Linked DNA regions of Elephas maximus indicus. The main gene of each other region encodes a partner of the protein of the gene in region 3 in a complex. Links are inferred from orthologs where the notes say so. Each region holds a gene or a part of one and is shown on either strand. Other genes may lie near its edges. The genes, in order: NAPA, SNAP25, VAMP2 and CPLX1.

Evidence for each region.
Region 1: the proteins of VAMP2 (region 3) and NAPA are in contact, whole or in part, in a cryo-EM structure (PDB 3J97), measured with the Rattus norvegicus proteins. The link is inferred for Elephas maximus indicus from reciprocal best matches to the Homo sapiens genes VAMP2 and NAPA. Residues at the interface, in NP_036795.1 of Rattus norvegicus: Gln36, Ala37, Asp40, Glu41, Val43, Arg47, Val50, Asp51, Leu54, Glu55, Gln58, Lys59, Arg66; in NP_542152.1 of Rattus norvegicus: Arg116, Thr118, Lys122, Ser157, Ser159, Ser160, Lys163, Leu197, Tyr200, Ser201, Lys203, Arg239, Ser268, Ile269, Arg271.
Region 2: the proteins of VAMP2 (region 3) and SNAP25 are in contact, whole or in part, in a crystal structure (PDB 1SFC), measured with the Rattus norvegicus proteins. The link is inferred for Elephas maximus indicus from reciprocal best matches to the Homo sapiens genes VAMP2 and SNAP25. Residues at the interface, in NP_036795.1 of Rattus norvegicus: Asn25, Thr27, Ser28, Asn29, Arg30, Arg31, Leu32, Thr35, Gln38, Val39, Glu41, Val42, Ile45, Met46, Asn49, Lys52, Val53, Glu55, Arg56, Lys59, Leu60, Glu62, Leu63, Arg66, Ala69, Leu70, Gly73, Ala74, Gln76, Phe77; in NP_112253.1 of Rattus norvegicus: Gly131, Gly132, Phe133, Ile134, Arg135, Arg136, Asn139, Leu150, Glu151, Ser154, Ile157, Gly158, Leu160, Arg161, Ala164, Leu165, Met167, Gly168, Ile171, Asp172, Gln174, Asn175, Ile178, Asp179, Ile181, Met182, Ala185, Asp186, Asn188, Lys189.
Region 4: the proteins of VAMP2 (region 3) and CPLX1 are in contact, whole or in part, in a crystal structure (PDB 1KIL), measured with the Rattus norvegicus proteins. The link is inferred for Elephas maximus indicus from reciprocal best matches to the Homo sapiens genes VAMP2 and CPLX1. Residues at the interface, in NP_036795.1 of Rattus norvegicus: Arg47, Val50, Asp51, Leu54, Asp57, Gln58, Ser61, Asp64, Asp65, Asp68, Ala69, Gln76; in NP_074055.1 of Rattus norvegicus: Leu41, Arg48, Tyr52, Glu56, Arg59, Glu60, Met62, Arg63, Ile66, Arg67, Tyr70, Gly71, Ile72.

The regions. Positions count from the first base shown.
Region 1 is NC_064829.1:101,403,297-101,410,991, forward strand, and holds the start of NAPA (alpha-soluble NSF attachment protein), read left to right. Parts: upstream 1-4,693; 5' UTR 4,694-4,874; coding exon 4,875-4,972; intron 4,973-7,695. UniProt on the Homo sapiens protein: Required for vesicular transport between the endoplasmic reticulum and the Golgi apparatus. Together with GNA12 promotes CDH5 localization to plasma membrane.
Region 2 is NC_064843.1:48,990,501-48,997,498, reverse strand, and holds the start of SNAP25 (synaptosomal-associated protein 25), read right to left. Parts: upstream 3,002-6,998; 5' UTR 2,870-3,001; intron 1-2,869.
Region 3 is NC_064837.1:12,615,325-12,622,443, reverse strand, and holds the start of VAMP2 (vesicle-associated membrane protein 2), read right to left. Parts: upstream 3,001-7,119; 5' UTR 2,563-3,000; coding exon 2,383-2,562; intron 1,899-2,382; coding exon 1,740-1,898; intron 1,646-1,739; coding exon 1,526-1,645; 3' UTR 980-1,525; coding exon of another isoform or gene 963-979; 3' UTR 1-962. UniProt on the Homo sapiens protein: Involved in the targeting and/or fusion of transport vesicles to their target membrane. Major SNARE protein of synaptic vesicles which mediates fusion of synaptic vesicles to release neurotransmitters.
Region 4 is NC_064823.1:158,722,835-158,729,757, reverse strand, and holds the start of CPLX1 (complexin-1), read left to right. Parts: upstream 1-3,904; 5' UTR 3,905-3,992; intron 3,993-5,578; 5' UTR 5,579-5,651; coding exon 5,652-5,682; intron 5,683-6,923. UniProt on the Homo sapiens protein: Positively regulates a late step in exocytosis of various cytoplasmic vesicles, such as synaptic vesicles and other secretory vesicles.

The DNA.
Region 1 (7,695 bases), on a different chromosome or scaffold from region 3:
TCTTCTGGTTTCCCTGGCCTGTTGATCCCACAAGGGCCTTGAGCCCTGGCGCGTGCCAGCGTGACAGAGAACAGAAAAATGAGTCCCTGCCCTGGGGGAGCTGGTGGCTTGGGGCGGGGGGAGCTGGACAGATTAACTCGTACATTCATTCAGCAAGCATTTATTAAGCACCTACTACAGCAAGTACCGGGGCAGTGGTTCCTCAGTGGTAGAGTTCTTGCCTGCCATGACAGAGACCTGGGCTCCATTCCTGGCCAAAGTACCTCACGTAGAACCAATACCCATCCGTCAGTGGAGGCTTCTGCATTGCTCCGACGCTGAACAGGATTCAGCATTGCTTCCTAAGATAGACTAGGAAGAAAGGCCTGGGAATCTACTTAGGAAAACCCTATGAATCACAATAGTCTGAATGACCATCACTCATGGGGGTGGTGCAGGACTGGGCAGCTTTTCGTTCCACTGTGCGTGGGGTCGCCATGAGAATGGGGGCCGACTTAACAGCAGCTGAGAACAGCAGTACCTTTTAAAAAACGTTCTCTGACAGCTATAAAGAATGGGCTGTACGGAACAAGAGTGGAAGCCAGAGATTGGATAGAAGACTCTAAGGTAAAAAATGCTGGTGGCCTGGGCTGGGAGTGTGGGGGTGAGGGTAGCAGTGCAGAGGAAAAGAAGCCCACAGACTAGGGATGCCTTTCGGAGCTGGACTCTGCAGACTTGTTGACAGGTTGCACATCATGGGGAGAGTTGGTAGGAAAAGGGCAGAGTCAAGCCTGCTGTGCAGGTTTGGGGCTTCAGCAGCTAAGTATGTGCCATCAGCCAAGATGGTAAAGAGCAGCAGAGCTGGCGATGGCATCGCAGTGTGATTGTGTCTACAACTGCTGTATTCTGAGCAGGGCAGAGGGTGGTGTCAGATGGTTCACAGAGGGGCAGCATTTACAGCTAAGTGCTCAAGAGTGGGAAGAGCAGAGGAGGAAGTGGTTTAAAGCAGTTGGGGCTCCATGGTTAAGGGAAGGATCCCAGGCATCAGGTGAACCTGAATTTGCATCCTGGCTCCTCTTCGTTCATCATAACTGTGGACAAGTCATTTGCCCTGTGTGGGCCTCATTTTTCTCATCTGTAAAATGGGATGAAAGATGCATACCGCCATCTGCCATGTATCTGTTAAATGAGAAAACATAAATTAAGTGTGTGGCAGGGTGCACCATATAAACTTAGCTCCCGTTGAACAAACACTCGTGGTATTGCTATAATTGCCCGGGTCACAGCTTAAACAGCAAGTCAAACTCCATGGCTCTGGAAATGTCTTTGGCTAAAAGGGTTGGGGGTGGTGTATTAGTTATCAGGAGCCCTGGTGGTGCAGTGGTTAAGCACTCAGCTGCTAACCTAAAGGTTGGCGGTTCAAACCCATCAGCCACTTTGTGGGAGAAAGATGTGGCAGTCTGCTTCTGCAAAGTGTACAGCCTTGGAAACCCCATGGGGCAGTTTTACTCTGCCCTGTAGGATTGCTATGAGTTAGAATTGACTTGACAGCAACCGTGGGTATATTAGTTTTCTATTATTGCACAACAAATTACCCTGCAACTTAACAGTTAAAACACATGGGAGCTCTTAGAATAGTGCCGCTTTGATGGACACGGAACCAAAATTACTGGTGGTAGTTCAGAATCACCCCACCCAATTTGTGGTCAGCATACAGTGGCAGCCACCTGTGGGTGGTCCAGGAGAGCCTGTTTAAGAAAAGAGTGGGGCGGAGGTTTCTTGTGCCTTAAACTCTGCTCAGCCAAACCCCAAACAGCATTTTCTCAAACAGTGGTTCCCGGATTGTCTGCAACCAAGTCATCTGGGAGCTTGTGGGAAAAAACGCAGACTCCTGTGTCCTGCCACAGGCTTTCAGAATCTGAATCAGGTGGGGGCAGAGCCTTGAAACCTGAATTTTTAAAATGAACTTTGAATTTTAGAACCGTTTAGATTTATAGAAAAAATTGCAAAGATCATACAGAAAGTTCTCATATACCCAACACCCATTTCCCTATTATTAACATCTTACGTGGTTATGGTACACTTGTTACAATCAATGAACCAATATTGATACATTATTATTAACTAAAGTCCATACTTTGTCCAACACCCATGGAAGCAGCAGTCAGGAAATCAAAGGATATATTGCATTGGGCACATCTGCAGAAGACCTCTTTAAAGTGTTAAGATGCAGAGATGTCACCTGTGAGGATTAAGGTGCACCTGACTCAAGCTGTGGTATTTTCAATAGCCTCATACGCCTGTGAAAGCTGGATGATGAATAAGGAAGGCTGAAAAAAATTGATGCATTTGAATTATGGTGTTGGTGAAGAATGTTGAATATGCTGTCAACTGCCAGAGGAATGAACTAAATCTGTACATCCAGAATGTTCCTTAGAAGTGAGGATGGCAAGACTTTGTCTCATGTACTTTGGACATGTTATCAGGAGGGACTACTCCTTGGAGAAGGACATCATGTTTGGTAAAGTAGAGGGTCAGCAAAAAAGAGGAAGCCCCTCAATGAGAAGAACTGACACAGTGGCAGCAACAGTGGGCTCAAAGGTAGCAACGATTGCGAGGATGGCGCAGGACTGGGCAATGTTTTGTTCTGTTGTACATCGGGTCACAATGAGTTGGAACTGACTTGATGGCACTTAACAGAGTACTTTATTCAGATGTCCTTAGCTTAATGTCCTTTTTGACCAGCCCTGGTGGCCCAGTGGTTAAGTGTTCAGCTGCTAACCTAAAGGTTGTTGGTTCAAACCCACCAGCCGCTCTGCGGGAAAAAGATGTGGCAGTTTACTTCCATAAATACTATAGACTTGGAAACCCTATGGGGCAGTTCTGCTCTGCCATATAGGGTCACCATGAGTGGGAATCGTCTCAACGGCAGTGGCTTTGAGTGTCCTTTTTCTGTTCCAAGATTCCATCCAGCGCATCCCATCACATTTAGTTGTCATGTCTCCTTAAGCTCTTCTTGGGTGTGACAGTTTCTCAGACTTCCTTGTTTTCAGAGATTGACAGTTTTGGGGAGTACTAGTCAGGTATTTTCTAGAAATTGGGATTTGTCTCATGTTTTTCTCCTGATTAGACATGGGGTTATGGGTTTTAGGGAAGAAGACGAGAGGGAAAGTGCCATTTTCATTACATCATATCAAGGGTATATGCTGTCAACATAACTTATCACTGTTGATGTTGACCTTGATCACCTGGCTGAGGCAGTGTTTCTGCACTATAAAGTTACTCTTTTTTTTTTTTCCCTATCCTTTCCATACCGTACACTTTGGAAGGAAGTTATTATATGCAGCCCACACTTAAGGAATGAGGAGTTATGCTCCACCTCCGTGAGGGTGGGGTATCTACATAAATTATTTGGAATTCTTCTGCCTAGGAAATTTGTCTGTTTTCCCCCATTTATTTATTCGATCATTTAAAAATCTGTATCAGTCTCCCTGGATGATGCTGATGGTTAACGCACTCCGCTGCTAGCCAGAAGGTTAGAGGTTCCGGCTCACCCAGAGGCACTTCAAAAGAAAAGCCTGGCAGTCTTCTTCCGGAAACTCTGCCACTGAAAACTGTGGAGCACAATTCTACTCTAACACAATGGGGTCACCAACAGTTGGGGTCGCCAGGAGTCTGTCAACTGAATGGCTACTGATGGTGGTGGTGAACTTGTGATGATTTTATACTTGGAGTTATAATCCAATACTACTTGTTACTCAAATTGCTCCAGCTGTGGCCACTGGGAGCCCTGCTCCAGTGCCCCTTTGACCTCCCCCCAGCACTGTGCGTGTGTTTTGTTTTCGTTTTAGCACTGCCTTACACTCTGGCACTACAAGATGCTCTGGGCCCATCTGCATAATGCTCTGCCCCTCGTTCCCTTATTGCAGTACGGTGGTAGAAACCAAGATCTAGGGCGTAGTGTGCGTGAACCTAAAACTTACCGTGGTAAAATACGTTAACACAAAGTTTGCTATTTTTAGCCATTTTAAGTGTAGAATTCAGTTATATAACTACATTCACAATGTTATATAACTATCACCACTGTATCCACAACTTTCATTATCCCAAACCGTACCCACTCAGCCCTCCCCCCAGCCTCTGGCAATCACTGGTGTCTGTACATTTGCCTGTTGTACACACTTCACATAACTGTTCAACTTCTTAAGCAAGTAGAGTTAGAGAACCTCTGTTCTCAAAGTTCTGTTTCCGGTCTTTGGAGTACTTTCCTAGCCTCCCCCCGCCCACCAGTTTCAGCGGTCGTCGGCAGAGGGCGCATGAAAAGGCAGAATGTTTTCTTTTTTACCACACACGCCCTTCCAATTGGAAGAGAACCGCGGGAGATAAGCACATATGCGGCGGTACTAAGCTCTGCGCCAGTCGACTGTCACGTGAGGGTCGGCCGTCAGCTGACCAGTGCTCAAGGTCCATAAGGAGGGGCGGGCCCTAGCGAGGGCAGCTGATAATTGGTGGAGTAAGAACCAGGAAGGTGGCGCCCTGGGGGCGGATCTTCACGGCGAGGATTTGGATTGGCTTAGGCCGAGTCACGTGGGCAGTGAGACTGCCGTAAGCTGCTGTGCGTACGCGTCTAAGTCTTGCAGATGCAGATTGGAGTTTGCGGCTCATTGGTCGGTACGCGGAGGCTGGCGGGGGCGTGGCCGGTGGGGCGCGCACCTTGTCACGAGGCTGTTGGTTGGTCGGCGTAAGTCACATGGTGCTGGGCGGCCGGCGGCGCGCGCCGGTGCGACGTCAACGCAGCTCGCTAAGCTCCCCGGACCTGTCTTCTGCGGCCGGGCCAGGGCAGAGTCTTCCCAGGGCCCGGTTCGGACAGTTTGCTGAGTCCCTTTGCGTCCGCCATGGACAACTCCGGGAAGGAAGCGGAGGCGATAGCGCTACTGGCCGAAGCGGAGCGCAAGGTGAAGAACTCGCAGTCCTTCTTTTCTGGCCTCTTTGGGTAAGAACCGGGCCGCGGGCCGGCGGAACCTAGGCTGAGTGACGGGCCGAAGGAGTTACGGCCTGAAGCGGCGGGGCAGGCACAAAGGGTTCGGCCCAAGAGGACGGAGGGGGTTCCGGGATGAGGAGACATGATCCAAGGCAGCGGGGGGACACAGGCTTGAGGGCCAAGGGGCCCAGACCTTGGCGACAGGGCGTGAGCAGAGACAGTGGGACGGCGGAGGGGACCTGGGCTGAGAAGACACTAGCCGAGGCGACACCATCTTGAGGCGGCTAGGGGAACTTACATCCAAGACGGGCCAAGGGGCTGGAGGAGAACATGGGCCGAGGCCTTGAAAGGGGCTTGGCCTGAGAGGTTGCGGCAGCTAGGTTAAGGAGTCTTTCGGAGCTCTAGGAGAACCTATTTCAAGGATCCTTGATGAGGCCTGGGGCTGAAGCCACTTGCCCGAGGTGTTGACATTTCCGAGGCCCGCGAAAGTGGATTTGTGTGGACCCTGGGTGAAGGGTGAGGACCGAGGAATCAGACACCAGGCCGAGGGTATCAGGGCTCCGGGGATCCTGAGAGTGGTGAGCCCAAGTCAAGGTGTGCAAAGTGCCTGGGGTGGTGACCAGTCTTAAGAGTATCTTAGCCTGGAGTGGAACCCAAGTGGAGGAGTCCCTGGGGATGATGTAGGAGGCCTGAGCTCAGAAGCTGGAGAGGAATGTGTGGTGAGGGAATGGGTGATGCCGGCTTGGCTGAGATTGAGGGATCAAAGGGAGACATGAGGAAACTGAAGAACCGAAGGGAGGTGTGTTAAGGCTGCTTTGTGATCATTGAGTAAGGATGGGGAGGTCTGGGGACAGTGGCGGGTGCGGGGTGTGAAGAGGACCTGAAAGGGGCCTGTGAGGCAGAACTGACACCTGTGACATGATGGATATTTCACGTAAAATTTATTAAGTCTTGAAAGTAGTCCTGACGACATCCTTTGAGAAATCTTGGTGGTTTTCGGGTGTCATAAAGGCCAGGTTTGAAGTTTGATTCTACCCCTTACTTTGGGATGCTGAGTAAGTAAAGTTGTTGAACTTCCCTTTTAAAGGGGATCACTCATAAAGCCCACCTCAGAGGTTTGCTGTGAGCGTGTGTAAGTGCAAGCCTGGAATGCAGTTAAAGCTTGGAAAGTGTTGGTTGTTGTTAATGTTGCTACATGTGAGGAGACAGGCTTGGAGCCTGTAGGGGGGCTGGTGGGGTTAAGGCCTGAGCCTGAAGGGAGAGGTCTGGGAGGAGTGAGGAGGGATCTGAGGGGGAAAAAGCCTAAGTGTGATAAAGAGGAGGAGAGAAGGAGGGGGGAAATGGCTCCGGGCCAGGGGGTCTGCAGGGTTAGAGGGCTCTGGGCAGAAGAAGTAGGGATCCCTGGAGGACTAGAGGAGGGGGTGCTGAGGGAGGGACTGGAAAGGGTGAAGGGGAAGCTGTCAGGACTGTGAGGAAGACTAGGAGAGGAAGTGCTTGGCTGCTAACTGCAGGGTTGGCGGTTCAAACCCACCCAGCAGCTCCGTGGCAGAAAGGCCTGACAGTCACCTCCCTTAAAGATTACTGCCAAGGAAACCCTGTGGGGCAGTTCTGATCTGTCACTTGGAGTCACAATGAGTTGAAATCAACTTGAGGGCATCTAATAACAACAGAGAGTTAGGAAGGAGTCCCCAGGTGGCTCAAATGGTTAAATGGTTTACTAGCTAAAAGGTTGGCAGTTTGAACCCACCCAGAGGCACCTCAGTAGTCAAGCCTGGCGATCTGCTTCTGAAAGGTCGGAGCCTTGAAAACCCGATGGAATAGTTCTGCTCTGCACGCGTGGGATCAGCATGAGTGGGAATGGACTCCATGACAGCCAACAACAAAGAGGAAGAACTGCAGGTCGGGGTGGGCATGGACTCAGAGAACTCAAGAGAGGCAGGGACCAGGGAGGGCTGTAAGGCTGGAGAACCCCCAGAAGGCTAGGAAATGGGGTTTAGGAGGAGGACCTGGGGGCTAGAAGAGATTGTGTTAGGAGCCCAGCAGGGGTTAGTAAGAAATAAGAGTAAGTTCTTTTGAGAGAGGAGATGGTGGAAGGAGCCCTCCCTTGTTATTTGAGATTGGAAAATGTGCAGCAAACGGACTGGAGGAAAGTGGTGTGAGGAGACAGCCAGGACTGATGGGTCATATTGATTACGCAAAGAATGTTGTTTTAGAAGCTGAGAGGGGAGAGAGAGTGTTTGTGTTTTTCTTCCTTCACAAGGGGAGAAGTTCAAGTGCAATGTATTGGGGTGGGGCCAAGAGCTCAGTTTCAGGTAGTAGTTTTCCTGGGTGGTTCTGGGTGTCTGGTCCCTTCTGACTAGGAATCGGGGGCTCTTGGGTTGTGCTTGGAGGGAGCAGCTAGGCCAGCGAGATCAGAGCCCTTGAGGCACTTGCAGCCTGCCTGGGTGCCCTTGAGTCTTTTCCAACTCATAGAGCTGCCCATTGGGTTTCCTAGGCTGAAATCTTTACCCAGGTCTTTTCTCCCACAGAGCGGCTGGTAGATTCGAATTTGCCAACCTTTCAGCTAGTAACTTAATTGTTGTGTCACCAGGGCTCTTTAAGGCAAGATGAACACTGGCGAATTGTGATCAAAGTGAACTTGTATGGGGAAACAAGGGGTAGATTATGTTGTTCGGGGAAGTTCTGAGATGAGAGTATGAACTGGAGGAAGGCTATTTGTGAGGAGTGAGCTGGAC
Region 2 (6,998 bases), on a different chromosome or scaffold from region 3:
CACTGGCAGAAATATCAATCTTCTGGTTGATACTCTGGGGTTAACATTTGGAATTCAGGAAATGTCTTTAGACAAGCTAATTATGGGTCAGTTTGTGTTGTGTGTGTATGTGTGTGCACATATGTGGTTGCGCAGGTTCAGCAAAGTAAAAATAAAATTGTGAATTTTTAGGAGGTGGTGCCATGGGAGGTTAAGAAGATTATAAATTGTTTTGTAATCCGAATGCCACAGTGGTAATGCAGAAAATGCCAATGGCAGGCAGGTGTTACCGTCAGAGGGTCTGCGTCAGTGCTTCCTGGCTGGTCCTTGTGTCCATCTGCTCCTGCCTCTTCTTACCATATTGCCCTGGATTTTTAAAATTTGAAACCTAAAATGGAAAAGATCTGGATTTTTTTTTCTTCTGAAGCTTGTCAATAATATCAATGTTAAATTCATGCCTCAGTGATGTTTTTTCTTTAATTTTTCAGGAAGATGTCCTAGAATTCGCTCCATAATTTTGCACATCTCCTCTTCCTCCCAGCTCTGTGCCCTTTGCCAGCTTCACTGCAGTCCTCTACCGCCCTTCCCCCCTCTTCCACTAGCAAATAAACCCAGCAGTAATTACTAATGTCCAAGGATGTATTTCCGGCAGCGTTAGGCTTTCATTTGATGCAACTACGCAGAGAGCTGTCTGGACATGAAGCATGAAGTCAAAGCATTTTTTAAGACTCCTGCCCATCTTTTTTTTCTCCTTCCTCCCATCACTAAAACCCAATTGTTTATTTCTTCTGCAGATTGCAGAGTTATAAACTTCTTCCACACAATTACATACTCTTGAATACATTTCCACCCAAATAATTTTACATCCATGCACAATAACAGATCAATATATACATATTTGGAAATTCATGGTTATCTATAAAAACAAAAATAAACACTAGAAAATAAACAAATAGCTGGGAGCAAAAGTCCTTCTATGTGGATAGGGCATTTTAACACCTAGTATACAAATAATTAGTGTTACCCTGGCTAAAAACATTCCAAGATCTTATTGTGAGGCTTTTAAGAGGGTCATGATGGCGTTTCCTTAATGCGTTGTATATATTTTTTACATACGACACAGTTACTCTTATTTACCAATGACTCTATTATAATACTACTATTTTGTTCCTGGTCATTTCATGCCAATTTTATCTATATCAAATGGAAAGAAAGCTCTCTGTAATGATTTTTGCTGGCTCAGGGGCTCCAAGCCTCAGAGTAGAAAACGGTCAGAATACTTATCACCACCTCAGCAAAATCCCGCAGTGCCATAAAAGAAATTGCAGTAGATCTTAAGGTCAGAGTCTACTTTCAGTCTAACACTGTGGTTCTTTCACCTGCAGTACGCTGAAGGACACAGTTGGATCCACCTAAGAAGACCACTCTTAATGTTGTCAAAATCACAAACTATTGGCCTGAGATAGCCAGTATTCACAGGAAATACTTCCCCTAACTCTAAAACCATTAGCAAAGAGGTTAAATCTATAGACTGTGGGACTCGTAAATATTTATCAGAGATGTATTTGTGTGGGTGTGTGCTTGTATTCACACATAATTATAAGAGTGAGGGAAAAGACAGAGGGAGAAGGATTAATTCTTAAAGTAGTTGATTCTGTTTAGTTCAGCAACCCGTTTTTTTTTTTTTTTCACCAAATAGAAATACAGAGAGATGTATTCACTCCTATAAACGATAGTGTTGGCATCTTTATGTATACTACACTCATGCCTACCGAAGTTTCATAGACAGTGCAACGCCTACTCTATGTTAAAAACAAACACAAACGAAACCTTGATTATATAATTGGAGAATAAATACAAATTTTAAAAATGTGTTCATTTCCTATCTAAAAGGAGGTGAAGAGGGCATACAGAATGGTTCCACAAGTAGACTTTTTTTTTTTTTTTTAAGCTGTGCAGGAGGTGCGGAGGGAGCAAGTAATTACCTGCAAAGGAGTCCCTGTAGGCACGATTTTTTTTTTACCTACTACGCCTGCTCTATTAGGTATCTCTGTCTCCAAGAGGCAATTTGGCGTCCAATCCTGGCGCATCTCGCCCTGGCCAGGCACCTGTGCCGCAAGTAGCTGCGGCGCTGCGGCCGGATCGCTGTCCGTGGTGCTGGAAGGTCGCGGGAGCCAGCGCGGGCCCTGGGTACGCTGTCCAGGGTTCTGAGTGCGGGCCTCCGCAGTCCCCGAGGCGAGCCCACTGCCGCCAGCCCTCCACAGAGCCCTCCCACCCAGCATGACCCGCCCGCCTCCCGCCAGCCTGCAGTTGACGTGGAGCAGGCGGTATAAATCAAGTCCGTGGGGGCATGGAGGCTGCTGTCGCTGCCGCAGCTCAGCTGGCCCGGGGCGGGAACTCTCTCCTTGTCTTTTCGCCTCTCCAGCGCCCACCCTGCCTTGTCCTTAATTCTTCACTGGATAACTGCTTTCTAATCACAACGATCATAATAGGGTTAGGTGGACAGATTTTTTTGTCTGTTTGTTTTGGTCTACAGAAAAAGAAAACAGCATCCTAAACACCACTGAAAACTGCATCGCAAAATGGAAGAGAGAAGGTCCCACTACAGTTTGAAAAGAGTAAGTTATTATTTGGTACGTATCCTTGCGCTTCCTCCCATCGCTCCATCTGCAGTGTCCCCATTCATCCCTCCCCCCCTAACAGCTCACCTCGAAAATACTTTATAAAGCCCCAGGCGGGAGTCTAGCCAGACGCGCACACACAGAATACCGCACCCTAGGTGCACAAATACTTGTATTTACCGAAGCCCACTTGGTCTGCCCAGCTGTGGTCCCCTCTGAGTTTGCAGTCACCGAGATCCAGAACCATGGCCCAAGGAGGGGCTCCTTACCTTGGCTTCTCCAGAGGATGGTATTCGCCGGGACCCTGCAGGTTTCAAGTGTGGAGGAGCGGCCGAGCAGGAAGGGAAGGAAAGACAGCACCTGACCTCCCCGAGGTTTCGTCTTCAATGCAATGTGAGCTCTGCCCTCATCAAAGATGGCTGTCCCTTTTGACGTCAGCAGCTTTTAATAGCCATCTCCTGGAGGGGCGGGGAGGAAGTGTGCTGGGGGAGGGCGGAGGGAGGACAGAGGCTGGAGGTGGGAGGGGAGGAGCCGGAGGAGCGGAGCGCTTGACTCAGTTCCCTGAACGCTTCACTGCAAACCTTTGAATTTTAAGTCTTTTATAAACAGCCGAATGGGGCGATTCTTCTGACTCCATTTTAACAGTCGGTCTTGAGCAAACACATTTATCTCGCTACTATATATATGTGTATATACATATATATGTGTATGTATATGTATATATACGTATATGTGTATTTAATTTTTTATACATATATAAGTATGTGCATATATATATACGTATAACCCAAACCCTATACATATATATATATATATATATATATATTTTTTTCCCTGCTGAGTTGAATCATTGGTTGAGTCACAGTGGAAGGGGGAGGGGAAGACAGAGGACGGGGGGCGGTGATGGTGATGGAGGAGGGGTGTTGGGGGGTAGATTTCAGCAGAGATTTGTTTTCGCCAAAGAAGAGGGTTCAAAGGGGGCATCCCTGTCAACCCTGTCTAGTTCCATATATGGCCAGCCTACGTGGGTTGCTATTTTTATGAGTGATCTCTGTTTTATCAAAGCAGCATCGAGGGCTTGGAGTTCTCGTTAATGTGGTCAGTTGGAGAGAGAGTCGCAGACGTTATTTTAAAGTACGTCAGAGCAATTATCGCCGTGATATATCAAACGACTTGGGGACGCGGAGGAAAGGCAGTTAGCCCAACCAGCGTCGTCTTGCTAGGGCTCCAGGCTTGCAGTTGCGGAGGGCAACATAGATGATGCTGTTTTCGGTTGAATTTGCAATAGGAGTCTGGGGTTTGACGTTGAGTATCTTTTTTTATCCAGTAGGGCACGTATATGCCTTACAGAATCATAGAACCGCCCAGACCTCCAGAGAAAAGTAGAAGGCTGCAGGTTCAAGGGTGGCTTGGACACGACAAAATTCTGGTGGTTCATTCGGTGCGCAAACCCTGGGTTGGGGTCCCGCTGATGCTCAAACAGGGCATGGGCGAGAAAGGCTAGTTTTGCTGGTCATAAAAGATTAAAAATAATAATCATAAAGCAATAATCCTAACGGTCTTCCCTCGTGCATTAGGTGCTGGGGGGGGGGTTATGCAAACAGTTCCGCGGTGGCAGCCTCTGGATGATTCACAGGTGTTGGGGAGGCTGTCGCGGGGCTCTCCGCGGGGAGGGCGAGCTGGGGAGCGCGTGGGAGGTGGGGGACCTCAGCTGAGGAACTGTTTGTACTTTTCCGGGAGGGATGTGATTAGAAGTCGTGCCTTGCAACGTTAAAACTTGATGGCCTCTTAGACGATGGAAAATCCTTGCCTTTTTTGGAAGAAACCTTTCAGAACTGGGTCTAGGAAAACAACACACAAGGAGCCCCTCTACCCCCTCATCCCCCCCTCCCCCAAACAGCCACCAGCTGGTTTGAGAGCCAAGCTTAAGCAATAATAAGGCTTTTAATTGTGCTTGATTGGAGAGAGAGAGCTCAGGAGAGGAGGAAAGTAGAGCTGTAAAGGGACTGCGTTTAGAGGGAGCAGAGCTGTCAGACTTTAATAAAGGACGCCTCTAAGTCATTGTTTCTTAAAGCTTCTCTGACTCAAAGGGTATTTTGAAATATTACTCTTTGCAATCACAATTAACAAATGTCATTTGGATTTTTATTAAAGCTGGATTTCTAAAAAACAAAAAAAAACCATGCTACTGAAATTTGTTTACTTAATTATATAGTAAACATTTAAAATTCCTATACCATAAACAACAAGAAAATCTGTAAAGTTCTTACTTATATACTGTTGAAAGTGTCCTAGCTCTGGCTCTTACTTTTATTACAAAGCAGGGTGGGCTAGGGTGGGGGAAGTGCTGGCATAGCAAAAGCTGTTACAGTTAGGATTGTTTCCAAAATGTGGCACACACACAAAAAGACAGCATGTGGAAGTTCGGGGAAGAAAATCCTGCAGTGGGGAGAAACAAAATATGTGTCTGGCCTTCAGACTAGAAGTCATTCAGGCAGAAAGTTTTGTGAAGGAAAAGAGGAGGTGGGGGAATTTCCAGATCAAAAAAAAAAAAAAGTATAAAGGAATCACATCAGTGATGGAGGCTCATCCTACAGACAGAAGCTGAGTGGAAGTCACCAGGGGAGGGCTGGCGTGGCGTCTGAGCTTTCAACAGCTGATGTCCTACACTGACATCTTTAAAAATGATAGATAAGAAGAGAGAGCCAGGTTGATTCAAGACATCACAGAAAACATCACAGGTCCTAAAAGATATCTTGTGGTGGTCACAGCACTTTCCTTTCCCCTGTGTTTAGGTCAAAAATGATGTCCTTTGAAAGATTCATCTTATTCTGGGAAAGACAACAGAATCTAATTTGAGTAACATAAATATTGGACATTTAGCTTTATTTGGAGCTGAAAGTCTACGAAGGATGACCAAACCCAAGCCAAACCCATTTCCTCTGAGCGAATTCCGACTCATAGTGACTCTATAGGACAGAGTAGAACTGCCCCATAGTGTTTCTTATGGAAGCAAATTGCCACAGCTTTCTCCCACAGCGCAGCTGGTGAGTTTGAACCTCTGACCTTTCAGTTAGCAGCCAGAGCTTCTTCAAAGATGACTAGGTAGTGCTAAGGGGCCATAGCTGTGCAGTGGTTAAAGCGCTAGGCCGCTAACCAAACGGTTGGCAGTTTGAACCCACCCACCAGCCATTCCTGGGAGAAAGATGTGGCAATCTGCCTCCTTAAAGATTTATATAGCCTTGGAAACCCTATGGAGCAATTCTAAAAAAAAAAAAAAAATTTTTTTTTTCTATAAGGTCGCTATGAATTGAAATCAACTAGAGGGCAGTGGGTTTGATCCGTTGCCATCAAGTGTATTCCGACTCATAGTGACCCTGTAGGACAGAGCCCCATAGATAGTGCTAAATGCTTTTGGAATATAAGAATGAGATTTCCCCCTCTGCTTTTCTCATGGCTTGAGGATTAAAAAAAAAAAAAAAAAACAGAACAAAATGAAACAAACAAAAACAAAATAAAAGTCAACCTTGCCACAACCAGCAGATTTATTTTACTCAGGGTCTATAATGGCCTGAAGCACACAACGAAGGAAGGTGATGGAAAATTTGCTCCAAAATGATTCAGCTGCCTGTGAGTTATTTCTGCAAAGAACCAACACATAGAGTAACTAATGCTTAGGATCTCATTTGATGAGAAGTGAGGAAATTACCTGCTCAGCTGGATGGATATTTACACTATGCTAATTCAGTCTCTGAAAGGCTTTTCTGGTACAACATGCCCCAAAAGTATTCTGGTTCGCAATAGCTCCAGATCCAAGGAGTTTACCTTGTATTCTCTGAGGTCAGGGGCGAGATTCATAGATGACTCAATAATTACAACCTCATAAGGAATAATAGTAATAAAAACTTTTATAGAATGCCATATGATCTTCCAAAGTCAACTTGGAAGTAGTTTTAGAACAAGCCAAACTCAGAATCTCCCCTACTCTTACAACGTCCTCCTTTGGAGCATGTTTGAAACCCTGTGACAATGTCTCAAAAGACTGTTAGGGCATATCTTAGTCATCTAGTGCTGCTATAACAGACATACCACAAGTGGATGGCTTTAACAAAGAGAAGTTTATTCTCTCGCAGTCCAGTAAGCTTGAAGTCCGAATTCAGGGCTTTGGCTCCAGAGGAAGGCTTCCTCTCTCTGTCAGCTCTAGAGCTCTAGAGGAAGGTCCTTGTCATCAGTCTTCCCTTGGTCTGGGGGCATCTTAACACAGGAACCTCAGGTGCAAAGGATGCACTCTGCTCCCAGTACTGCTTTCTTCGTGGTATGAAGTCCCCATGTCTCTCTGCTGGCTTCTCTCTTTTATATCTCAAAACAGATTGGCTTAAGACACTACCTAATCCTGTA
Region 3 (7,119 bases):
GAATCAGGCAGATGGGAGGGAGGGAGACCCCATGGGAATGTCAGTTGAGCTCCCCACTCGAAAACTGGGGAGCAGGAATGTGGGTAGAGACCCCGAGTGGCAGAATTATATTGGTCCGTCATAACACACTGAACTCCAAGACACATACACCAGCCAGGGAACGGAGAAGAGGGGCCAAGAGGTTTGGAAAATGGGGGTAAGGGAGGCAAACTGGACTAGAGGGGTTAAGAGAGGGCAATTCTGGGGACCAGAACAGCCTGGTTCCCCAAAAGCTCAGGCTCCCCACCACCTGCAAGTAATGCCATGAAAATGAAAGCGTGATACGAGAACCAATGGGGACTCCTCAGTAAAAAAGAAACATGGGTGAAGAGTGATGAAACAAAAAAGAAACCAACAGAGATGTCAGTATGCAAATGATATGCTAATAAACATGCTGGAAGCTTCCCAGAAGACCTTGGGATTCTTAGAACCCTGTGGGGCCAGTCTCAGAGCCTCCCAATGGATGCAGAGGAGATGCACCTAGGGAGGTCTGGACAGTTGCACTTTGTTTTGAGGGGAGGGCTGGGTGGAGTGGGGATGAGTGGAAGGCCTGGGTAGGAAGAAGGATCAGCTAAATCCAAGGAAAGGAAAGGAAAGGAAGAGGGACTATTGCATAGCAGATGCAAATGAAGGGACTTGGGGGAAAGGAGGGGAAGGCAAGGAAAGAAAGAGAGGAGGTGATGGGAACCTCAGGAAGGAGTGTTAAGGACAACCGGAAAAATCTTCTAGTAATAAAACTACAAACAGACCAAATATATATAATATTATATATGTATAAATAACAGCTGGCTATTTACAAGGGGACACACACAGACACACACACGGATTCAGGGGAGGGGCTGGAAGATATGGCTGAGAGGTGGAGGAGCGGCTGGGGGGAGGAGGAGAGGCCCCTCTCTGGGCAGGGCAGGCTCCTCAGGGGTTTAAGTGCTGAAGTAAACTGTGGAGAGAGGGAAAGAGGAGGAAGGGGGAGCAGGGAGAGAGAGAGAAAGATAAAGAAAGCAGTGTGTCAGGCCTGGCCCTGCTCCAGTCCTCCCCACTCCCCGGCTGACTGACGTCCCTTTCCCTCTCTGGGCCTCAGGTTCTCCATCTATAAAAGCAAGGAGCTGGACAGGCAACTTCTGAGGTCCCTTTAACTCCATGGTATGGCCCTGGGACCACAGACCCCTAGTCCTCTAGGTCTCTGAGCCCACAAGCTCTCAAAGAGTGGGGTGGTTGGCTTCTAATCTTGAGCTCCTGGGCCTCTCCTGCTCTCCCACTCCCCAATTCCAGGGTACTCAGCCTGGGCTCTCAAGGCCCAAAGGGTCTTCAAGGGAGCAGTAGGGATCCACCAGCTTTCCTGTTTCCAAAATCTTAACAGAAATCGCCCAAAGCCAGGCAAAGTGCAGGCTAAACAACATCAGGTTTGGGGATCTAGATGAATCAGAACTGCCACTGGCAGCTATGTATGTTTTTTGCTGAATAGTAAAAACAATGTTAATGACCTTCAAAACCCAGGATCCACAGGGGAAACCTCTCCAGAGAAAGGGCCCTGGCCACCCACTCCCCACTCACCGATGATGATGATGAGGATGATGGCGCAAATCACTCCCAGGATGATCATCATCTGGGGGCAAGAGGGGAGTCCATGAGACAACCTATGCTACCCCCATTCGCCCAGCAGCCCTCCTACCCGCCCCCCAGCCCGCCCCCACCCTTACCTTGAGGTTTTTCCACCAGTATTTGCGTTTGAGCTTAGCTGCACTTGTTTCAAACTGGGAGGCCCCCGCCTGGAGTGCGTCCGCACGGTCGTCCAGCTCTGACAGCTTCTGGTCCCGCTCTAGGACTTTGTCCACGTTCACCCTCATGATGTCCACCACCTGAGAGGCCCATGAGGCAGGAGGTGTACCAAGGCCCGCCTCAGTGAAAGCACTGCTCGAACATGCACCCACTGTGCCATATATGGAACATGCACCCCGATGCTGCCAGGCTAACATGCCAAGGACGCATACAGAACACGCCTAGCACACCTGGGGACATGCAAGGAGCACACATCAGGAGCCTGATGGTAGCCAGACACCTCAGATATCATAGCTCTATCTATGAAGCCTCAGTAGCCAGTCCATCACCGAAGCACACCTGCTCCAGGCTCCAGGCTGGTACACCCCTGGCTGGCACAGGGTGATTAACATCCCAGAGCCCTTCCAGGTACACGCTGGCAAAGATGGGGCATGGTATGTCTTTGTCCCCAAACACATAGCCATTAATTATCCGTCATCTTTTCCAACCCAAGATGGGCCCCCACAGTTGTTTGTCAACCCCTAGGATCCTTCCACGGGCTTTGACACCGCCCCCCCCACTCACCTCGTCCACCTGGGCCTGGGTCTGCTGCAGTCTCCTGTTACTGGTCAGGTTTGGAGGGGGCGCAGGGGGGCCTCCCTCCCCAGCCGGGGCAGCAGGGGGGGCGGTGGCAGCGGTAGCAGACCTGAGGGGCAGGGACGGATTAAGACTCAGGGCCAGGGCTCCGCCCAGCCGCCTGTCCATCCATCCATTCCTCTCTTCCACCTTCCCGGGAGGGAGGCCACCCGACGAGAGCCCTGGACTCCGTCCGGCCCCGCAGCTGAAGAGCTGCGTGACCTTGAGCGAGGCCCCTCCCCCCTCCGGGCCTCAGTTTCCCCGCCTGTCATATGAAAGCGACATCACAGACGCGGTCCAGGGTCCACCTGACATGACTTGCGGCCACGGTGACAAGGCAAGGCGGGATGGGCGGACACCCGGGTCCGCTTCCACCCGCGGCCATCGTCTGCCGGCCAGCCCGGGACGCGGAGTTCCCTGGGCGCCGCGCGCAGTCACGGGCGCTGGCCTGCCTCCGGGGTGCGGGCAGCGCGGGGGGCACCGCCAAAGCCCCGGGCACTCCCAGCTGTCCGTCCCTAAGGGTTGCAGGCCTGCGCGGGGAAGCCCGGCGCGGGCGGCGGGCGGCCGACTCACATGGTGGAGGCAGCGGGCGGAGGACTTGGCAGCAGCAGGGATGGCGATAGCGGCGGCGGCGGCGGCGGCTCGAGCTGGCTCCGACTGGCGCTTGCTGCCGGGGACAGGAAGATGGCGGCCGCACGTCACCCACATCCGGGCACTGCGGGCGGGGGCGGGGCGCGGCAGGCGACTCGTCGGGAGCCGGCCGCGGGGGCGGGGCGGGGCTGGGCGCGGCGGGGCGGGGGCCGTGTCTGCCAGGTCCAGGCCCTCGTGCCCGGGGGCCCCTACACCTTCCACTGCACCTGCGAGCCCCCAGACCCACCGCCAACCCGCCCTGTCTGACCACAGCCTACCCCAAGCCCTACAGCACACCGCAGCCGGGCCCTATATCTCACCCTCAAACCACATCCTTCCTCATCTGTGAAACCTGTAAGCCAGTCCCTACCCCACATAGCCCAAGGTCTCACCCGGTGCCGCGGTCCCAAAGTCTGGAGACCCGCCTTTCTCTCCTCAGCACTACGAATGAGCTGGGAGTGGGTGGGTAGGGTGGGCGTTCAGACGAGGACGTGCAGGTCCCAGAGGCAATGCAGAGAGCCGGGAGTCTTTTGCTGAGATGGAGTGGGGTGGGGGGGGGTTCGTCGTCACCCCATCGTCCAGTAGGTAGATGTCCCAAGGGAGGTTTGGGTAGAAGGGAAATGAAGAAAAAGAGGCGGTGCAGGCTTTTTCCCCTCAGCCGAGCCCGAGGAGGGGCTGCAGGGGATGAGAGTTGTCCCACCTCACAAGTGGGAATTCAGACCGGGGTACTTGGCAGGGGAACATGAAGCAGGCCCAACTGAGGTAAAAAATGAGGTAGGGGAGCCTAAAGACCTCAGGAAGGAGGGCAGGAGACTGCCCCGTGGTGGCCGAAACCTAGCTCTGGCCCTAGTGGGGTCAGCTACCCCTGCCGTGGGGGAAGAGGACTCATCCTTTCACTCCAGGCACTGGGCCTGGGCCAAAAGGGCAGATTTTTGTTTGTTTGCTTTGTTTTTGTTTGAGGAAGGAGGACAGTGGGTACAGGACCAGCCTGAGGGAGACACCTGCAGTGCCCAGGTTACACAGTGTTACTTTCCAGGTGGATTAGCCTCATAAGGTATGACCCTGGAGAATTCTTTGGCCTTCTCTGGACCAAAAATATGTTTCATATGTAGGCACTGTATATATAGTTGTTATATGGTTTGATCTGTATAACACGGTAGTAGGAGATGATCCTTCCATCTCTGACTGGCCTCTGTTTCGGTCCTTTACACAGCCCCGGCAGGTGCACACACTCACACCCCGCCCATCATCAGCGGGCCAGGCACTGCGGGCATTGCAGGTTCTGGAGGGTGACGGAGATGAGACTGCCTGTCCTGCCCCAAGCGTGAAAGAGACATTTTAGGGAAGAAAAAAAAAAAAAATTTTTTTTTATTTAGTGACCCTGGGGTGAGGGTGTTCACTGCATCCCAGGCAGCTGGGGTGGAGGGAGGCCTGGTGGCCTGGTCTCTGAGACAAACAGGGGCCAGCTCCTTCCCTCCCCAACCGAGGCTTCCCAGGGCCTCTGGGTGTGAGAACTTTGCCCACTGCAGCACCCCCCTTCCCAGCAGAAGCCTGGGGACCTGCTCTGTCACCAGAGGTGTCATTTCACAGCTGTCTGGGGGAGGTGAGTGAGCAGGGATTATGCAGGATGTGGGGACTCAGCAGGATCTCAGATCAGATGCTCTGGCTCCCTCCCCCTCTGCAGAGCAGCCATCTCCCTGCCCTTTGTGCACTGACACAGGAGGGCTGGGGTGGCTCAGCCTATGCGGAAAAGAAAAAAGAGCAGCTTCAGTAGGGGTCTCAGATGGCATACTGGCTGCCTGCTTTTTGGCCCTGCAACCACTCTCCTTTCGGGCCAAAGAGCAAAGACGTCAAATTCCAGGCTTTAAGTTCAAAAGGCTCAGTGTCAGGGTATAAGACAGGGAAGGTTGGAAAGCAGTGCAGACAGAGCCTCCCCACCCACCAGAACCCCCTGCTCTAGCTGGGGAGACCAAGCTTACAAGCAAGCAAGATGCTAGACACTGGTTTAGGAGTGACTCCAGTTTTCCCAGGCAGAGTTCAGGGGTTGTGGGAGCCACAGAGCCCCAGATAAATTGGGGGAGCCAAGGCCATTGGGTGTGGGGTAGAAAGCTGACACCTTGCTGCTGTTCACTCCGCTCCAGGATCCTGCGACAGGGTAGAAATGGGGGCACATATGATCCACGGAGGTGGGGACCCAGGAGGATACGCCTCAGAGAGAGAACTCACAGTGTGCAGCCCCTCTTGGCACCACCCCACCTAGGGAACTCCCCAATTTTAGATCAATGGTGGAGGCAGGAGAAGGGGTGGGGTGGGATGACTGAGTTTACTTGGAAATGAATTAAGAGAATGTTTTCTGCAAGCAGATAGAATAGAGACCCAAAAAAGAAGTAGTAAGTTGAACTCCAGAAAAATGAAGTAGTATATTTGCATAACTGAGGTCCAGGCTTCTCCATTTACCAGCTTCTGGGTTAGCCCTCCATCCCCACCCCAGGGCCATTCGAAGGCTCCTTCAAAAGATGTGGGAGGGGCCCAAGGTTGCATTTCTAACAAGCACCTCCATTGATTCCGATGTAGGCCACAGGAGACCACACTCTAAAAAGGTTTTCTTTCATTATTTTTTTTCCTTCTTCTAACAAAAACTGGCTTAGAAGTTGGAATGGAAGGGGGCCTGTTCATTCCCATGCTGACTCAAGAACTTGCCCCATCCACATGAGTCAAGCCTGACCAAACTAGTAATTAATTTGAGGGACGTCGTGTGTGTCAACCAGCTTGTAAAGAAAAGGCCTTCTAATCAGGAGCAGAAGAAATCTGCCCTTGGGAATGCTGGACTAGGGGCCTAGCCCCATCACAGTCAGCTGTTCAAACCCACTGACCTGTGGCTGAGCCGTCTAGGGCAGAAGGCTCCCAGGGCTGCCTGCGAAGCCCTGGGGTCCTGGAGAGAAGAGGACCTACTGTGTGCCTGACACTTTACATGGATTGCCACATGCACTAAAGTAGTTTTTAATTATATACACAGATGGTGTGACTGCATTCTTCATGTGAAATACTAAAACATTAAACATAAAGCTAAAGTCCCCTTGGCTGCCCCTCAATTCATTTGTCCTGACTTATGGCGACCCCTTGAGTTACAAAGTAGAACTACTCCATAGGGTTTTCTTGGCTATGATCTTTATGGAAGCAGATTGTCAGGGTTTTTCTTCTGTGGAGCAACCCCTTGCATCACCTATCCATCCCGTGGCTGTCGAGTCGATTGCGACTCAGCACCCAGGCTCTTTACATTATCAAGTTGTTGTTACTTTTTGTTGAGTCAATTCTGGCTCATAACGACCCAAGGTATGCAGAGTAGAACTGTTTCATAGGGTTTTCAAGGCTGTGACCTTTCAAAAGCAAATCACCAGACCTGTCTTCTGAGGCACCTCTGAGTTTGAACCACCAACCTTTTGGCTGGTAGTAGAATGCATACCCATGTGCACCTCCCAGGGACCATATATTATTATATATATATATATATTTTTTTTTTTCCAAAATGCAATGTCTTTTCTCTCTGAGGATAATAATTATATTTTTAAAATTCAATGTTAGATTTTAAGATTGATAATACAATCGTATTGAAAAATTGAAAAAGTACACTGAATGTACCATGAACCCTCGCTTGGAGCTACCCAGAAGCCCCGCCCTGACACAGGTGCTCTCCAGTCCTGTGAGTCCCCAGGGAGAGCTGGTGCACAGACCAGCATATGCAGAGTTGGTGCTTTTTCCTTTTTTTAAAACACAAATGCTAACAGACTATACACATTGATTTGCACCTTCAATTTTTTTTTTACTTAACAGTTATGTTTTTTTTTCTTGTGCTGCATAGTATCTGTCTCTTGCAGATTCCTCTGATTTGCTTTCTATAAATATATATATATATATATATATTTTACTATATGGGTGTCTTGGTTATCTAGCGCTGCTATAAGAGAAATACTGCAAATGGATGGCTTTAACAAACAGAAATTTATTAGAAGTCCGAATTCAGAGTGCCAGCCCCAGGGGAAGCCTTTCTCTCTCCAT
Region 4 (6,923 bases), on a different chromosome or scaffold from region 3:
CACCAACACCACAGTTCAAAGGCATCAATTCTTCTTTGGTCTTTCTTATTCATTGTCCAGCTTTCCCATGCATAAGAGGTGATTGAAAAGACCATGGCTTAGTTCAGGTGCATCTTAGTTCTCAAGGTGACTGCTTTTTAATACTTTAAAGAAGTCTTTTGCAGAAGATTGCCCAATGCAATGAGTCTTTTGATTTCTTGACTGTCGCTTCCATGGCCTTTGATTGTGGATCCAAGTAAGATGAATCCTTGACAACTTCAGTCTCTTCTCTGTTTATTATGATGTTGCCTGCTGGTCCAGTTGTGAGGATTACGGCCGAGAAAATCCTATGGAGCAGTTCTATTCTGCAACACTTGGGAGCCAGCATGAGTTGGAATTGACTAGAGACAATGAGTTTGGTTTGGTTTGGCTTTGGGTGGGAGGCGTGATCCTCCGTACCCTCCTGCCTGGGGTCCTGGGCTTTCTGGGCCTCATTGGGGCTGCTCTCTGGAGAGTAGCCACATTGGAAGATGGTGTTGAGTGGGACAGGTGGCTTTATCCCTGTTGGACAGGCAGGGCCCAGAAAGGCAGGGCAGCTTCTCTAGGGCTACACAGGCAGGGCTCATGGTGGCCAAAAGTATGCACTCCCCAAAGCTGACCCTTCTGTGGGGTCACCCTCTGGCAAAAAGCCTCCCCCTTGTTGGGGGCTCCACTGCTGGCCACCCTCCCTCCGCCCTCATAGCTGCCTCACCTGACCTCCTGGTCATCCCCTTCTGCCCCCCCTCCCACCCTGACGTCATCCTGTATGGAGGCCACTTCAGAGACCTCAAGAGGCCCAGAAAACAGCTCTCTTCCCCTGAGTCTTCACCAGCCAGCAACCTCTGCTGTCCCTCCCTCTGCTCAGCCGTCCTCAGATTTTACAGAGGTTTCTCGCTAAACTACTGCCTCTTTCTGGCCGCTGGGGTTTTGGAGGAGGTTCATGCAATACTTGGGGTTCTCTTTCAGGCACTGCCTGCCCCTGGGACTTGGGTATAGCGACGTGGCTGGGTGGAGGCCATCTGCCACAAGCCTTTCCTCTACCACAGGACAAACCCACCTGGGCCCAGCCCATGCCTCCCCTCTGACCCCAGCCCTGACAGCATGAGCAGTTCCGTGCTGGCTCTGGCCCACATCACATCCTCACAGCGCTCCCCGAGGCCCTGTCATCCTCAAAGCCATCCCAGATCACTGGGGTCTGACCTGGAATTGTCATCTTGAAGGGGCTGAGAAGTGTGCGTGCTGTTGGGGGAGGGATCTGTGAGGGGGGCAGGTGATGTAAGGGGGTAAGGGGAGAGAGAAAAATGGAGAGTCAGACAGACAGAGACACACAGAGAGAGCTAGAGACAGGGAGATGGAGACAGAGAGGCAGCAAAAGAGAAACAGAAACACAGCAAGAGATGGAGACAGAGAGGGAGGGAAGGAGAGAGAAACAAAAAAAGAGAGGCAAAGAGAAAGAGGGAGGCAGGGAGAGAGGAGGATGAGAGAAACAGAGAGACACGGGGGCAGGCAGAACGCATGGGCCCCTCGTAGGTCCCTGACTCTGGACATGAGGAGCTCTGTCAGGCCCTGGTTATGGGGCCACCACTGAGGTGTGGACCCCTGGATGCTCCCTACACCCTGTCTGATGTCCTGCTTTTGGGGACACCGTTCTATCCTGCAGACATGATGCAGACTGCCCCCTACCCCACTGGAGCCTACCCTTGAGGTCACTGGGCACCTTGCAGAAGGCTTGTGTGGCAGGCGAGGGGTGGTTGTGGCTCAGTGTGGCTCACCTCTAGGAGCCTCTGTGACTCACACTTGGGAGGTCAGCTGTGGCCCTTTCTAGCAGTGACGGTGGAGAGAGGAGGCTCCATGGGGAGAAGTGATCTCTCTCTTTGCAGGACCCTCCCACCACCATCCCTCCCAGGCTCCAAAGATGCTGCAGGGCCCTGTGTCTCATCTTCCCTTGTTCCTGGACAGTCAGGGGAGAGGCAGCTAGCCTTGCACAGAGCGGTGCTCGGGCCACCCTGGCTGCGAACCGCACCCTGGGCCTGGGTGCTCCTGAGGGCAGAACTGGTGCCCCTCACTCCTGCTTCTCACCTGGCACCTCCAGGGCAAGGCCTGTGGGTCTCGCCTCCAGGTGACAGGTGACGGGAGCTGTCAGTGAGAGAAGGGACAGTGCTGAGTTCCCAAGAGGCTGCAGCTCCATGTGGCAGGGAGACCCCACAACCCTGGACACAGCCTCTTGTCCAAAGTTGCTCCTGGCCCCCAGGTCCCTTCAGATTCACGCTGGTTGCAGTGGAGGCCAGAGTGGGACCCCACCCAACTACCTCCCCACCACAAAGGAGCAGTGCTGGCCTCCCTGATCCCCCTGCCCTCATCCTTGGTCTGCTGAGGGTCTCCAGTCAGGCCACTGACACCCTGCCGGGCCTGGAGGTGGTCATCGGAGGGAGAGGAACAGGGCACAAGGTCCCACGTGGATCCAGGTGTCCAGGCTCTCTGCAGGGAGGCTAAGCTTCCTGGGGGCTAGAGAGGGAGGCCCAGGGCACCAGATAGGAGCCAGAAGGGTGGTCTTCCTGGGGCTGGTGAGGGTCTGGGGCAGCTCCAGGATGTCCCTTCTACTCCAGGCCTGGAGGAGTCCCCATGACTCAGCCAGGAGAGGATAGTGCGTGGTTCATGCAGTGTGGCCACCTGCTCAAAGGTGCCGGCGGAAGGCCACCACTGGGCTGCCCCCCCAGTGACTCAGACAGCCAGCTGGGCTGCAGTCCCTGCCGGCAGAGGGGCCCAGTTCTTGTATGCAGGTGCTCAGATCAGGATCCCCTGCAGCCATTGAGGGAGGAGCGGGCAGGAGGCCCAGCGCTCTGACCTTGCAGCGACCCCGACCCCTCCCACCGCAGTGCGCACCCTCGGCAGACGAAATCCCGGAGGTCCCGGGAGGGGGAGGCCACGGGGTGCGGGGTTCGGAGCCACAGTGGGCCCCCCTCTGGCGGAGAGGACCCGGCCACCGGCCCCCGTCCGGAGGAACCCTGTCCCGCGCCGCGTCCCGGTCCGCAGTGACCTTCACGAGTCCCTGCCTGGAAAGGGGGCCGCCCCACACAGCCCTCTCTCCAGCCGCCTCTCCACAGCAGCGCCCCCTGGGCCTGCCCGTCCGGGGGCTGCGACGGTCCCTTGGTCTCTTTTCCTCGGGGGTCCCTCAGCCTGTTCCACTACAGTGAAACTCTGTGGTGCTCTTTCTAAGTCTGCGACTGGGATACATGCAAATTAGCTCCCGGCTGGTCTGCAGGTCTGTCCCCGCGAGGGGAATTGGGTGGGCTTTCGGGGTTCTGGGAGTGCCCTTCTCCCGCCCTGCAGTGAGTGGGCCCAAGAGAGGCGGGGTCTGGGTCTTGGGAGGCGCCCAGGACACCCAGCCCGGTCAGGACCACGGTCACCCCCCGCGCAAGGAAAATCTCTCACAGTGCTTCCCCTCCCGCCTTGGCCGAGTGAACTGCGAGGGGCAGAGATCCCCAAACCCCTGCCCCGCTCCAGCTGAACAAGCAGGGATTTTTCTGCTCCCCGGGGTTCCGCACCTACCAGTCCCTCACCGCAGGAGGGGGTGGGAGGGGGGGCCCTGTGGGGGAGGAGGGCGGGACCCCCGCCCGGGCAAGTCCACATGGAAGGGGCTCTCATACTTGGGGGAGGGAGGTCTGCGGTTAAAAGTTGAGGGCCGGGTAGGGGCATCTCGCTCCCGGATGGCCGGGGAATCCGGAATGTTTGGGGGCGCGGCTCCGTGGCTCCCGCTCCGCCCCCGCCAAGCCTCCGCCCCGCCCCTCAGCGCGCCCCTCCCCCGCCCTCCTCGTCATGCTCTGCCGCGGGCGGGGGGCGGGGACAGCCTCCGTGTGACGCGCCCTCGTCGCGGTGCCCTTCAGCAGCCGCCGCAGTTGCCGGCGCCACATGGACCTGGCCGGCCCGCGCTCACTCCGCCGCTGATTGCCCGCCTCGCTCCTGGGCCCCAGAAGGTAACCGGCGCCCCCGCCCGCAGCCCGTCCAGGCCGGGCCCGCTCCCCAGGCCCTGCTCCCCCAGCTCCCGGTCCCCCCAAATCTACGCTTCCCCAGGTCCCTGATCCCGCAGATATCTGCTCCCCAGGTGCCGGCCCACCCCGGCCCGGTTCCCCCAGCCCGGCCCTGGCTGTGCAGGGCCTCTGCAAGGACTCTGTCCGGCGCGCGGGCGCTGTCCGTCGTCGTGGTGCTGAAGCAGCCCCGCAGTCCCGGGCCCTCCTCCGCCCTCGCTCTCTTTTCCTGGCTTCTTCCCTTCTCCAGCCTCTCTGTCTCCCCTGCCTCTCTAGTCTCCCTTTCTCCTTCCCGTCCTCTCTGCTTTTTTTCTTTCTCTTTCCTGAAGCGCTCCCACCTCACGCCGCTCAGCAGAGCCGGGCAACTCGCCCACAAAGCCGAGGGGTGCGGCGGCAGGAGCCCCGGGCCCGCGTGTGGGGGGTCTGGGCCCCGGGGCTGGTTTGGATCTCGTCAGGAAGGTCCCGCAGCACCCCGAGACTCTCTGAGGCTGGGCCCTTGCAGCACTCGCCCTCCCTCCCTCCCTTGGAGCCAGGGGAGAAGTTTGGGAGAGAATCTGCTTTGCGCCAAAGGCGCCCCTGTGAGCCAGCGCTTTGCAGTCTCCACTCCCTGGCCCGGCCACCCCTCCCTACCCCACGCCTGCACAGTAGGTTCTCCTTCATCTGCAAAGAGGAAAACAGTAAAACAGCAGGTCTCCAGGGACCTGGGGTTCCTTCCTGGAGAAGTCGCACAAGGTACAGGAGGCATTGAAGCTGCTGTGATTTTCCAGGAAGCACTTCCCCACCAGGGCCCCAGCTGGCCTGGGCTGGGGACTGGGACCCTGGAGCATCTCCCCACAAAGATGCATGGAGGGGTTTTTCCTTCCCATCATTCCCATTGGCTCCTTGCAGACTGGGCCCCCTGCGGCTTCTCCTTTCCACCCCCTGTCTGCTGCAGGCGGGGTGGAGGCAGCACTCCCCAGGATAGAGCCTGGCTCCCACACACCCCTCTTCAGAAGCCACAGGGGCCTCCCCTGAAGAGCACCTACTCAGGCCCCGCCTGCCCTGTCCCTTCCTCATCCCTTAGACATACCCCACTCTTGTGGCCCTGAGATCACTCCAGTGGTGGCAGCCTGGATCCTGAGCCACTGAGCACATCCTGTCACCTTCAAATGCCCCCTGGGCCCGCCTCTGCTCTGCACAGGCTGTCGCCAGGCTGCTAGGAACTTCACCCCCTGGAGTTGTCAGAGCTTTCCCCTCCCTGTAATAGCAGCTGAAAGCTGGACCCCAGAAGGCTCAGGGACCTAAAGAGACCCCTTTGCAGGTCTAGCTGGGGTCCTGTAACCTGTCCGCCCTAGTCAGGGTGTGGAAAAATGCTTCACATAGGCAGAGGCCCACCCCACAAGGGATGTGGTGCAAACATTGATCCCCCAGACCCCCAGGCTCTGCTCTGGGAAAGGCTTGGCAGAGGCAAGGAGGAAGTGGGTCTCTCCCCACACAGAGCCCCTGCCTCCAAGCCTAGTCAGGGCAACTGTGACCACCTTGCTCTCCTCCCCCAGTTACAGGTTGCCTGGCCTCACGTGCATGTGAGTTTCGACCTCGAGGAGCCACTGAGGAATCAAAGCCATTGTCATGGAGTTCGTGATGAAACAGGCCCTGGGAGGTAGGAGGCGGGGGCAGGGGCTGCTTGTTGACCCACAGAGACACCCCCAGAGGCATCATTGCAGACACGGAGCAGAAGCACAGGGAACAAGAAGGCTATGTCCTGACAGAGACTTGAGCCTTTCTGAATTTCCTTTGCCAGCACAGGGAGGGGAGGGAGTACAGGGGGAACAGGGAAGGCGGGAGGGTGTGTGTAAGTTCAACCTGACCCCAGCACTGTCAGGGCAGAGACCACTGGAAAGGCTGACCAGTAATAAATACACTCACTCAACCTAAGGAAGAAGTCCCCAGGGTGGGAGTATCAAAGGACGGCCCTAACTGTGGTCAGGCTGAGTGACCCTCACAGGGCTTTGCTCCTGGTGAGCCAAGCTGTGGACAAGGAGGAGCTGCAGAGATACTGCAGTGGTTGCATGGGGCATAGGGACAGAGATGGACCTGTGGCTTTCATCAAGAACTCAGTGGCTCTCACTCAGGATATGGGGGAAAGCACTGCCCCCAGGGCTGGCAGGACACATGTATGTTTGAACACAGAGGTCCAAGAAGAGGCCAGGGACACCTCATGTGATCCCACCATCTTCCAAGGAGCCAGTTCAGCTTCTTATGTGTGCGTGTTTGCGGGGGACATACTACTCCCCCTCCAACAGAGCTGGCTCCTATTGGAAAGAGCCTATACATGGCCCAAGGCCATTATCATGGCTAGAGGCCCTGGCCCAGGACTGGAAGCCCTGCAGATGGGGTTGGTTCACAATGGCACCGAAGACCTTGCAACCCATCCTCTGCACCAGCTCTCAGGGGCCGATTCCACCGTTAGGAATGTCTTCTTTGGGTATGATGGCATTGCACTCACACGCGGTCTGCGTAGGGGAGCATTTCACTCACAGCCTAGTATGAATCAGGTGATCTATATGTAAACCTTTCTCTCAGTACTACTGTGATGGGGGAGAGGGAGTTGGTGAGAGATGTGCCAAGAACAAGGGGGGGCGCCGCTACCCCCAGGTCTGGTGCCTGACCCCTCCCCTGGCCTCATGCTGTCTTCCCTCCCTCCATTCCTCCTACCGCCTAGGACAGGAGCTGACACAGATTGTCTTGTGGAACATGGCTGCATTTCTGATCAACACAAATTAAATCAGAAGACAGGGGAGCCTGGCCCGGGGCCACATGGCCTGAGCCTCATGGCCAAGGGTAGTCTGCAGATTCCGCCTAATTGTAATGCTTACGTCACCAAGACATGATTCAGGGACA